Notamacropus eugenii: one gene and its partner. The protein of the gene in region 1 purifies or fractionates together with the protein of each later gene. This does not show direct contact. Links are inferred from orthologs where the notes say so. Each region holds a gene or a part of one and is shown in the gene's direction. Other genes may lie near its edges.

What was found. Proteins that work in one complex are often made in the same cells at the same time.
Region 2: the proteins of LATS1 (region 1) and SAV1 purify together in Homo sapiens (affinity purification with western blotting; 3 studies listed by BioGRID). This does not show direct contact. The link is inferred for Notamacropus eugenii from reciprocal best matches to the Homo sapiens genes LATS1 and SAV1.

Annotation. Positions count from the first base shown.
Region 1 is NC_092873.1:241,732,092-241,738,313, reverse strand, and holds the start of LATS1 (serine/threonine-protein kinase LATS1), read left to right. Parts: upstream 1-2,479; 5' UTR 2,480-2,613; coding exon 2,614-2,964; intron 2,965-6,222. UniProt on the Homo sapiens protein: Negative regulator of YAP1 in the Hippo signaling pathway that plays a pivotal role in organ size control and tumor suppression by restricting proliferation and promoting apoptosis.
Region 2 is NC_092872.1:308,772,869-308,779,090, reverse strand, and holds the start of SAV1 (protein salvador homolog 1), read left to right. Parts: upstream 1-1,963; 5' UTR 1,964-2,370; coding exon 2,371-2,464; intron 2,465-6,222. UniProt on the Homo sapiens protein: Regulator of STK3/MST2 and STK4/MST1 in the Hippo signaling pathway which plays a pivotal role in organ size control and tumor suppression by restricting proliferation and promoting apoptosis.

The DNA of each region.
Region 1 (6,222 bases):
ACTCAGTTCACATCCCACTTTCTGCCTTTTCTAGTGATGTCCCTTCATACTCCATTCTCCAGTTGCCAAGTGCTTTCTTCTCTGAACTTCACCTGGGCCCTCTCTGCTTACAGGCCTACAGTAGGCAGTCCTGCTGTACCTCCTTTATCAACTCACTGCCCCACTATTCACAGTAGGTTTTTCAAATTGGCTCGCATACCCTCTAATCCCTACTCTCTCAGCTGAGAACCTTGCCCATATTTTACTAAAAATTAAAAAAAAATTTAAAAAATGTCATTCACTATGAACTCTTCTCTCCACTTCCTCATCTATTATTATTTAGGTGTCATGCCACTTTTCTTTCACCTATCTTTCACCTATGATAAGACCTTACTCCTTCAAGGCTAACCCCTCTATTTGTTCAAGCAATCCCATTACATCCCATTTCCTCCAACAGATTGCCACCTCTGTCATCCCCATTCTTTGGCTTATTTTCCCTCTCTCCCTCTCTATTGGCTCATTTTCTTCTGCTTACAAACATGCTCATGTCTCCCTCATCCTGAAAAAACCCTCCCTTGGCCCTTCCATCACTGTATTCTGTATATTACATCCGTTTGTAGCTCAGCTCAAAGAAAAGACCATTTATAGTAAGTGCTCCTCTTTCCCCCCTCACTCTTTTCTTAACATCTTACAATCTGGCTTCTGATTTTTTTATTCCGCCAAAACTACTCTCTCCAAAGTTACTAATGATCTCTTACTTACTAAGTTCTTTGGCCATTTTTCAATGCTTATTCTCCTTGACCTCTCTGCAGCCTTTGACATGATCATTCTCTCTTCATGAAGACTCTTTTCTGTAGGTTGTCAAAACTCTACTCTCTCCTGGTTTTCCTCCTCCTTGCCTGATCACTCTCTATCTCATTTGCTGGATCCTACTCCAGATCACACCCTCTCCCCAAAAGTGTCCCACAGCAGGCTGCCCTGATTCCTCTTCTCTTCACCCTCTTTCACTTGGTGATCTGAGTAGCTCCCATGGATTTAATGACCATTTCTGTGCTGATAATTCTCAGACCTCTTTCCTGCCTCAGTCTCTCTGCTGACTTGGTTCAGCCTTACATCTCCAGCTGCCTTTCAGACATCTCAAACTAGATGTTCAGTAGACAACTTCATCTCATCATGTCCAACATCAAACTCATTATCTTCCCCTCTAAACCCTGCCCTCTTCCTACCTACCCTATTACTATAAAGGGCAACACTATCCTTCCAGTCCCTTAGGCTCTCAATTTAGGAGTCATCTGGATTTCTCATTATCTCTCAATCACCATTATCAAAGCTATTGGCAAAGCCTGTTGATTTCACCTTTTCAGTGTCTCTTGAATTTGCCCCCTTCTTTCTTCTTATCCTGCCTCTGTTCCAGTATAGGCCCTCTTCATCTCACACCTGGTCTCCCTGTTACAAGTCTGTCCATCTTCCCTTCAGGCACTAAGGTAATTTTCTTAAACTTAAAGTCACTTTATCCCCTCCCCCTCCTACTCAGTAAACTCCAGTGGCTTGCTGTTACTTCCAGGATTAAGTACCAGATGCTCTGTTTAGCATTCAGAATTCTTAATAAGCTAACCCCCTTCTACCTTTTCAGTTTTCTTATACCTTACTCTCTAACACATATTCTTCTATCCAGTGATACCAGCCTTCTGTTTATTCCACAAATAAGACACTCCATCTCTGGAATCCTGGCTTTTTCTCTGGCTGTCCTCCATGCCAGGAATGCTCTTCCTCTTTCACCACTCTGGCTGTTGACCTCCTTGGCTTCCTTTAAGTCCCAAGTAAAATCTCACCTTCTACAGGAAGCCTTCCCCACCCCTTCTTAATTCAATGCCTTCCCTCTGTTAATCATTTCCTATTTATCCTGTATACAGCTTGCTTTATAAATATTTTTTTTGTTTTTATATTCTCTCTCCCTTAAATTGTACGTTCTTTTGAGAGCGGGGGACTGTCTTTTGCCTCTTTTTTTATCCCTAGCACTTACCACGGTACCTGACACATTGTAGATGCTTAACAAATGTTTATAGATTGGTTAGTTGATTATCTACCCTGTATATATCTTGTGTTACCTGATTATTTACCTGTTGTCTGTTCCATTAGAATGTGAGCTTCTTGAGGGCAGGGAATATTTTTGCCCCCGTATTTGTTTCCACTGCTTAGCACAGTACACTTAATAATCATTTGTTGGCTGTATTATTACACTGCAAATTTATTGATAATCCCTGGTATTTGTATAATATCTTATATTTTTCAAAGTTCTTTTACGCATTGATCCTTGCAACATTTCTGAGCATTTAAAATAAAGAAAATGAAGTATGGAGAGCTTGCGATTTTTCTAGCCACATAATAATTCATTAGGTGAATGGAGATTACTGACTAGATTCAGCGTTCTTTTCACTATAAGCAATTATAGCTGTAATTTTCTGTCATTTTCAGAGTTGAATCATTTCAGCAGTAAAGAATCCAGCAGACCTCAATGTTTTGTGAAGTACTATTTTCATCTTTTGCTTGAGAGAATTCTGAAACTACCAAGTAGCTTTGACAAGTATTTGTGTGAGTGAATCCTTTGTGAAGGTTATACAGATAGATGTTTTCATGAAGAGAGGTGAAAAGCCGGAAGGGTATAGACAAATGAGGCCTAAGACCTTTCCTGCCAGTAACTACACTGGCAGTAGCAGGCAAATGTTGCAAGAAATACGGGAGTCTCTTAGGAATTTACCTAAACCATCAGATGCTGCAAAAGCTGAGCATAATATGAGCAAAATGACAACTGAAGATCCTCGACAAGGCCGAAATCCACCCAAATTTGTGACATATCATAAAGCTTTGCAAGAAATACGAAACTCTCTACTCCCATTTGCAAATGAAGCCAATTCATCCACCAGGAGTGCATCAGAAGTTAATCGACAAATGCTACAAGATATGCAAATTGCTGGATTTGATGAGGTAAGAACTTTTAATGACACTATAGAATATTTCATTTATTTAGACCCAAGATTTACTATAGGATAAGGATAGGCACTGGACCTGTGATTTCATTAATATGGAAAAATCCCAGATAGGAAAGACCTTATATCAATAAGGTTGGTATCTTCTCTGCAACTTACAGTCTTAGAGTTGCCTAGAGTGGAAGATGACAAAATACATTCCACATTCCAAATCTGGCCCAATTCCTATGCCAGTGGTTTACTGAGTCCTGGTCTAAAGCTTAGAGAAGTTAAGTGCCTGACCAGGGTTAAATAGCCATGATATTAGGGGCAGGATTCAAAGCTGGATTTGAGACCAGCTTTTACAAAATTAAGTATAGGTCATGCTAAATACTGATTTTTAGATTGCTTTGTTTTCTAAACACAGGCTCTACCACCAAGTAATAAAGAAGTGATTTGAATCTGAAGCACGAAAATTGGTTGAGATGTGTTGTATGTGTATACACACATTTTTTTATGTCACCTACAAAAATTTCTGGTAGTCCTAATACCATTTATTCATTTACATGAGCCTACCACCTTAGTGTCTAAGTACAATAAAAAAACCACAAAAATCACAACTTATTCTCCCTTTCCTGGAGTGGCCTGGGAATCCAAAGGACAGAGTCTGGAGTCAGAAATACTCAGTATAGTATTTTAGAGAGGAGAGTGAATCTGTAGGATGATGAGCTAGGTAACCAATATAGAAGTAGAAATAGCTGTCTCTATAGGGGAATGGCAGTGGGAAGGATGATGATATGTTCACTTCTAGAGGACTGTAGGTTTTCATTGATGGACAGCTTTCAGTCTTATCTATAAAAATAGTATAGCTAATTCAGATGTTATATAATACATTATTGTTAGTACTGAGAATCTCTTTTGTGTCTTTTCCTTGATAGACCTATTTATCTTTTGTTTAGGCTGTTAAATTTTCTTCTCTTTCCTAATAACACACTTTATAATTGGAAACTTTGGGGGTAAAATACAGAGGTTATATTGAGTTTGACCATAGATAGTCACTATCTGTCTAGATAATCTGTAATTAAATAGTCAAGAAGTGATTTTTCCTTTTAAAAACAAAATCATTAAGTATTGATTAATTGAGAAGAGGAAAAAAGATAGGAAAACAGCAATAATAGAAAGCTTGTAAAGTCTATAATGAAACTACAGAGGAAAAGTAGTTTATTCTACTTGCTATTTGTTCAGTTGTTATTGCTGTTTTGTAAACATTTCATACTTAATAGTTTTTGAAGTATTGAAGATTAAAACAAAAACTTAGATGTATATTTTCTTTGAATGAATTTTATGAATTAGGTAATTGATGTAATAGGCATCTCCAGAACAGTGCATTTTTAATTCCAGAATGATGGACTAAAGAAAAAAGCAATAAAAAGACTCTATTGATCTCAGGTTCTCCTTTGTGAGTATTGCTGGGAAAGAGAATGTATGTATAAAATCACATATCTGATCAGTCTTTAAAAAAAAATTTGACTAAAGTACATGGGGAAATAGATAACAAAACTAAATGGTTGAGGTCTACACTGTGCTACCCATTTCCAAACTCTGCTGATCTGACCAAAAAAGATAAGCCAGAAAGAAGTTAAGAAATGAATAGAATTTAAGAAAAATTAGATATCATAGATCTCTGGCAAAAATTACTGAGTAGGAATGAAAAAGATTATATGCATATCTCAGCTATATGTATATTTGATACACATATCAGCATATTCATTGTGTGTGTGTGTGTGTGTGTGTGTGTGTGTGTGTAGCAAAATTTTCCACATACTAGGCAACAGCTCAGCAAACTACAGCATGCAAGCCAAAGCCAACCTGCTAGTTGTTTTCATACCACCCTGGGCTAAGACTGGTTTTGTATTTTAAAATAAAGTTATTTAAGTATGTAAAAGTCATTTTAAGCAGGGGAAATTGGAGGAGGATGCAGATTTGGCGCTCTGTACGTAGTTTATCAACTCCTGGCTCACATATAAAAATCTCAAAGCAGTATGGAAAATTGTAAATATGAAATGCATGCGTTATGGACCATAACACAAAGGTCTTTGAAGAAAAGAGCCAAACGTAAATGATGTTAAATAATTTAATTCTTAAAAATTGATGAATCAGAGGACAAATAATAGAACTAATAGATACTTTTTCATCAAAGAAAGTGACTATAATGAGACAACATGCCAAAACTTTTGGGATGTTGCCAAAGCAATCCCTAGGGGAAAATTAATATCTCTGAACATTTTCATCAACCAAAGAGAGAAAGAACAGATCAGTAAAGTAGGCATACATTTTTTTAAAAATAGAAAAGCAACAAATCAAGAAACTTCAACTTAACACAAAAATTAGAATTTCTGAAAATCAAGTAAGAAATTAACAAAATTGGAATCAATAAATTCAGAGTTTATTAAAATCTAGGGATTTTTTGTGGGGGGAGATTTTTTTAAAAGGCAAAACATTAGCTGGTATGATTTTTTTTAAGAGAGGAAATCCACATTAATAAAAAATGAAAATGGAAGCTCCATAACAAATGAAGGAGAAATAAAAATATTAAAAACTATTTTGCTTATATGCCAACAAAACTCATAGCATAAATGAAATGGGTGGATATTAGCAAAAAAAAAATAGTCAAATTAACAGAACAAGAAATAGATAGTTTAAATGATCCAATCTTATGCAAGAATTGAACATACCATGAATGAACTCCAAAAGGGGGGAAAACATGACCAGATGGATTTACAAGTGAATTCTACCAAATGTTCAAAGAACAGTGCATTCAATATAATGTAAATTGTTTGCCCAAATAGGAAAAGAAGAAATGCTATCAAATTCTTTCTGTATTTAAAAATAAGGCCTTGATTTCTAACCTTGAGAGAAAAAGCAGAGAAAAAAAACTACAGAATAAACTGTTCATTCCTAATGAATTTCAAAAAAACTATTGAGGATAATGTTAACATATGGTTCACAGAAACAAATTGAAAAGATTTTATTAAAATTAAAAACAAATTTTAAAAATGATCATATTGGATTTCTACTAGGAATGCAGGGTTGGTTCATTAGTAGGAAAGCTATAAATATAATAAGCTGTATTAATAAGAAAAAAACCACATGGTTATATCAATAGATGCGGAAAAGGCTTTTAACAAAAAACTCCCTTTTGTAAAAAACAAGCAAAAAAACCCCACTCTAAGTCAAAGGAATAAGCAGGCCTTTCCATAATATGGTAAATAGTAGA
Region 2 (6,222 bases), on another chromosome or scaffold:
CACCTTCAGTATTTGACCTTCCACTAAACAATCTGAATTAATTTCCTTAAGAAATTGATGGAATTGAAAGAAAAAGGAAAAGGGGACAGCAGTTAATTGATATTGAGTTTTCTGTCTTGTTATGAGCTATCTTATTATTAAAGAGTTCATTCTTTGATATATTCCAATGTGTGTAACTTCTTTGATTGTTTAGTTGTTTGAAATGGTTTTACTTGCTATTCTTCATTTGTGATGCTACTTTGTTTAACCAGTGTTTGGTGGAAAGGTGGAAACCTTCTTTTGATCTTCTCTAGAAATATGAAGAAACATGTATTTTTCCAGTCTCAAAAATCCTTCCCAGACTTGTCACCTTAGGAAGGTGGGTTAGGTCAATATTCAGGAAACTGGATTAAAAGTGGAAAACAAATTTTGAACAGAGTACCTCTTCTCTTATTAAGATCATAACTAGAGTAGTGGGTGACCCATCCTTGGGAAATAATCTCTTTTCCAGTAAGAAAGAAGCACCTCTTGTTGTTCAGAAAAGATTACGATTTTAGAAAGAAGATCCTTTCAGAATTTGAGAGGAATAGTTCAGGAAGGAATTGAGTGGTTCTAGTCGAAGATTAAATAACTAATATTCATGACCATTGTTCTGAAATGTCATACCAAACTACTTTAACAGTTCTTATAGATTCTTATAAATATTTCAGAAAATTATCTTGGAGCATAAAGACGTCCTGAGGCATAAGAATGAGTTCAGTTTGAACATTTCTCTCTCTAAGCTGGAAATGCTTATATATAAAGTTATGTGAAATTGTTTCTGGCAGACTTGTGTCTACAATACAGATTATGAAGTTAAATTTTTTTTTTGACAGCACTACACTTTTTTGAATGAGGGCTATTCTCATCTTTAAGAGTAATCAGGGACCTGGCTTTCCTTCAGAACTATTCTTGTACACCTGAGGAGGAGAAAGTGAGGCTGGTGACCTTGCACAGCCCTCCTAAACTCAAAATAAAGTCAAACGCAAGTCATATCATCATTTCTCTGATGTCATGGTCTTCTTGGAAAACGAAAGACGAACACAACAACAACCTGTACACCTAGAATACTGATATTTGAGATGGCAGATAGATGTACTTATAGCTTGATACTTCTCTTGGAAACAGGCAAGAGAAGAAGCAAGAGTTCAGTCATGGCTCTTCTCTGCTCTTGAGGTAGGACTCAGTCTTCCTTGGAGAGGTAAGCCAGATTTTAGAGAAATCTATCCATGTCATCAATGAGTCCCGTCCATACAACTATTACCTTTTTATAGGACAACCACACGACCTAAATTTACTGAGCATATTGATTTTAAGAATACTGTATATTTCAACAAAGCTTTGTAAAAAGAATTTCACTGGTCAGACTGCATCCTGGGCTCTTGGATGCATTATTATCTTTCCCACAAATATCCTCCACTCCTCCTATGCTATTCCTTTGGCGTGTACCACCATTTTCCTAGTCACCCAGGCCCACAACTTGGATGTTACTCTTACCTGCTCAAGAGTGGCAATTTTCAAGTTTATGTTTAATATTTTGTTCATATAATTGTGATATATGATTTTGTTTTTCCATATTTTCTTTAAGAATAAATGTTTCCTTTTCCTATTTTCTATTTCATTTGTATGCTGGGAAGGGAATGATTTTGACTTTTGCCTATCAAATACCAATTTTAAACTGATCCTCTCCTCTCCTTCCCTTCTCCCCTTCTCTTTTTAAGCCCTTGTCGGGCTAGGGCTGAACATTTTTTTCCCCGGAGGGTCGAACTTACAGATCTTGAGATGGAATCTAATGAAGACTTTCCCCGTCTTCCTTCCTGTCCTCAAGTACTCTTCTTTCCTGGCTTCCTCCCCGGACTCACTAAGAAGAGCCGCCCCTGGCTACTCCTTTAAGCTCTCCCCGCGCTGTTTGTGCCCGGCTAGAGAACGGGCGGAAGAGGGCACGTGCTGCGTACAATCCCCCAGAATCCCCTGCAGCCTACAGGAAAGGTCCCGGGCGCAGGAGTCTGCCGCGATTTCGTTCCCGGGCACAGGCCGAGCCGCCGCGGATCATGGCTCTGGCCTCGTTCGCTTGCGCTTCCCTGGGCGGCCCCGCGGAGCAGGCGAGCTTCCGGAAAGGGTCGAACGGGAGCGTGCGGAGCGGCCGACACACTTAGCAGCCCCGTAAAATGCAGCATTCTCTGCGGAGGAGCCGGGGCTTTGGGGCGGCGGGCGACTGCGGCTCGCTAGCGGCTGGAAGGGAAGTGGGCTGTGGCGCTGCCCCCTGGCGCGGCGGAGGCCGGGGCTGCCCGCTCTAGGAAAGTTCGCTGGGCGCCTGCGAGGCTTCGGGGGGCCCCGGACCGGGCCGGCGAGATGTTGTCGCGAAAGAAAACGAAGAACGAAGTGTCCAAACCGGCCGAAGTGCAGGGGAAGTACGTAAAGAAGGAGACCTCGCCACTGCTGCGGAGTGAGTCCCTGGCGAGCCGAGAGGGGGCAGGGGCGTGGCGGCGGCGCCGAGAAGGGAGGGCCGGCTGCCGTGGCCCTGCGCTCCCTTCGGGGCCTGAAGCCCGGGAGTTTAAGGCTTGGCTTCTGCTGGCCCCGCTGCCGGGGAGGGTGGAGAAGGAGCGCTTGGAGCTGCGTGTGGATGAGGGCTGAGCTGGGTTTGGGCGACCTGGGGCTGGCGGGAAGGGGTGCCAGGCACCAGTCAGCCCGTGCTTTGGCCAAAATCTATACATTCACATATATAATTCATACCTATAACTCTGGGATTTGCCTGGTTGCTTTACCTGTGTCTCCTTGACTTAGGTTACTTCCAAGGGCACTATTTTTAATGATGTTTATTTTTTGGTTTCTTTTGCTTTGGTTTGTTTTCTCCTTCGAACAATTAACTAAAAACAGTACATGAGATATCAAAATCTTGCCCTTAGGACAGAGTATCACGTTATATGTTACTCTGTATCCATGTTGGCATTGTTTTCACTTACGATAAAAGACTTAGTGTAACAATGTGAATTATGATTCTTCAGGGAGTTAGCCATCTAAAAGTTTAAATTTGAAGTGTTTGGAAACCAGTTCCAGCTTTTAGACATCTGGTGAAACAGCAGGCCTTTATTAAAGGCCTGCTGTGTGCTAGAGAAAAATGAATTGGCAAATGCTTTCAAGGAACTTAAGTTCTATAGGGAAACAGTATGCATAAACATAAATAAGAAATATAATTTTTAGGAACGGTATTAGCAGATGGGGAGGGATGATAAAAGAGGTGGCACTTGAGCTGACTTTTGAAGGAAGTTAGGGATTCTAAGGCATAGAAGAGAGGGAATTCGAAGCATGGGAGGACAGTGCAAAAGCACAGAAACAGGTGATAGAACAACAGGAGGGAGGCCAGTTTTGCTGGATCATAGAATGTGTAAGTAAATAAATAGAAAAGCATTTATTGAGGGCTAATATACTATGTGGCAGGTAGCCTATTAGGTGCTGGGGGTACAATGATGAAAGTGAGACATTCAATAAACATTTACTAAGTGCCTGTTTCTGTTGTCCTTCAGTTGTAGCAGACTCCTTTTGACCCTATTTGGGGTGTTCTTGGCAAAGGCAGTGAAGTGGTTTGCCATTTCCTTTCCAGCTCATTTTATAGGTGAGGAAACTCAGGCAAACAGGGTTAAATGACTTGTCCTGGATCACAGAACTAGTAAGTGTCCCAGGCCAGATTTGAACTGAGATCTTCCTAACTTCAGGCCCAGTGCTATACTCACTGCACCATTTAGCAGCCCCTTTTAAATGCCTTCAGTGTGCCAGGCACTGTGCTAAGCACTGGGCATTGACAGTTCCTGCCCGTAAAGGAGCTCACAATTTATTGGGGGAGATAACATGCAAACAATTATGTACAAAGAAGCTATATAGAGGATAAATAGTAAATCATCACAGAAGAGATTAGAATTAAGAGGGATGGAGGGGGCAGAGAAGGCAAGGGAAAGGGAATAAACATTTATATAGCATCTACTAAGGACCAAACTGTACTAAGCTCTTTATAAACTTTTAAGTTTATTTAATTGGGATTGGAAAAGACATTTTGTATAAAGTGAGATTTTAGCTGGGACCACAGAGGAGGGGGGGAGAATGAGTTCAGTTTGGAACATGTTGAGTTTAAGATGTCTCTAAGATATGTGCAGTAGGCATTTGGAGATGGGAGCTGAGCTCAGCAGAGAGGTTAGGATTGGATAAGGAGATCTGAGAATCATCAACATTAAAGATGATAATAGAATTCATAGGAGCTGATGAGATTATTAAGTAAAATAATACAGAGAGAAAAGAGGGCACAGAATAGAGCCCTGTGGGATACCTAAGGTTACTGGGACTCCCCTGGATGAAGATCCATCCAAGAAGACTGAGAAGGAGCAGGTAGGAAGAGAACCAGGAGAGAGCAGTGTCCTGAATACCTAAAGCAAAGAGAGTGTTGAGGAATGGAGGATGACCAAATGTGTCAGAGATTTCAGAGAGGTCCAAAAGTCTGAAGATTAGGACAAGGCCATTGTATTTGGCTGTTAGAACATCATTGTTAACTTTGATGAGAGCAATTTTGGTGGAATAATGAAGTTAGAAGATGCCAGATTGTGAAGTTAAGAAGATAGTGAGAAGAAAGGTAGTGGAAGCATCTATTATATGTGGCCTTCTTAAGAAGTTTAATCACAAAAGACTAAAGAGATATTGGATGAGAATTAGTGGAGATGGAAGATCAAGACATAACCATGTTTTTCAGGCAAGAGGGAAGTAGCCAGTAGACAGAGATTGTATTTAAGTGAGAGAATTGGCATGATAGAGGGGGCATACCGCTGGAGGAGATAGAATGGAATGGAACCACTTATGCAGATATCCGGGTTTGCCTTGGCAAGGAGAGGGGCCACATCGTGCTTCAGGTGAAGGAGGAAATAGTAGCAGTTTGTATCAGAGTATTATAAGGTGAGGAGGAGGGGAGAAGAGGTTTGCAAGAACATTTGTTGAGAGTGGAATAGTGAATTAAATAGGAAAGTATGGAGTGATTGCCTAGCAGCAATGAGGACACATGTAGTTAGGTAACAAATTTGTAGTGGACTCAGAACAGTTGTGTGATTTTTCTCCTTTGTTCAGCAATTGTATAATGATGCACACTGGGAGTGTGGAATGATACAAGACTGAGACTTGGCTGGGCATAATTGGCCTTATGGTAAGAGGACAAGACATTTAAGAGGTGAGGACATTATAGAGTTGAACTGGGAAAGAGGAGGCTAGTGCAGAAGTGATGGTCTGAGAGAGAACTGAGTGGTTGGAGAGCACAGTGTGGACAAAAAGCCTGGTTTGGTAATGGAAGGCAAAGGGAAGGGTAGAAAGCCAATGGAATATAATCAGATAAGGGAATTTCAGAGTTCATAAACACAGAGGTGGTTCATTTGTGATTGATGGTAAAATAAAGAGTATGACCATCTTTTGTGTGTGGCTTATGTGGGATGGAGGAGTAGGACATGAATGGATTGAGAAATTGCAGTGTTACTATATTTGAGAGAAAGTCAATATATATATGATGAAGTCTCCTAGTATGAGGGCAGGAGTTGGAAAGAAAAGCTTGTGAGTCAGGTACTGAACTCATTGAGGAATGAAAGGGAATATCCTGGAGGTCTATAGACTACAGTTACTAGGATTTTGATTGGGTAGTAGATGTAGATTGCCTGGACCTCAAGGAGGAGAATTTACTGATTGATTGTAGTAGATGGAATGAACCTGGAAGTGATACTAGGGAATAAGGAGTATTCTAACTCCTCTTCCATGAGTCTAGGGGAATGCACGAAAGTTCAGACAGGTCTTGGAAAGGGTTACCAGGGAAGGAGCCTGATCTCAATGAGATTCAAAAGATAGGAGTGGGAAATGAAAAGATTTAAGATGAAAGCAAATTTGTTGCATTAGAGAGGACACAGTGAAGTGTATGTTTGGTTGGGACTTTGGGGGTGGGGATTGAGGAGAATGGGAATAAACAATTGGGTAGTTGGGGAACAGATTGGGTTTTGTATGGTGACCAACAGGGATGTGTAGGATGTCACCAGATTTTTGTTAATCATTAAGTGTAAAATTTAGAGAGATTTTCAAAGTCAGTGCTGTCATGATCTAAGTTGGAGTTGTTTCAGATCTTTGGGCAGTTCAGAGGAGGGAGCAGGATCTTGGAGTATAAATAGTGATACGTTCCTTCCCTAAGGTGGG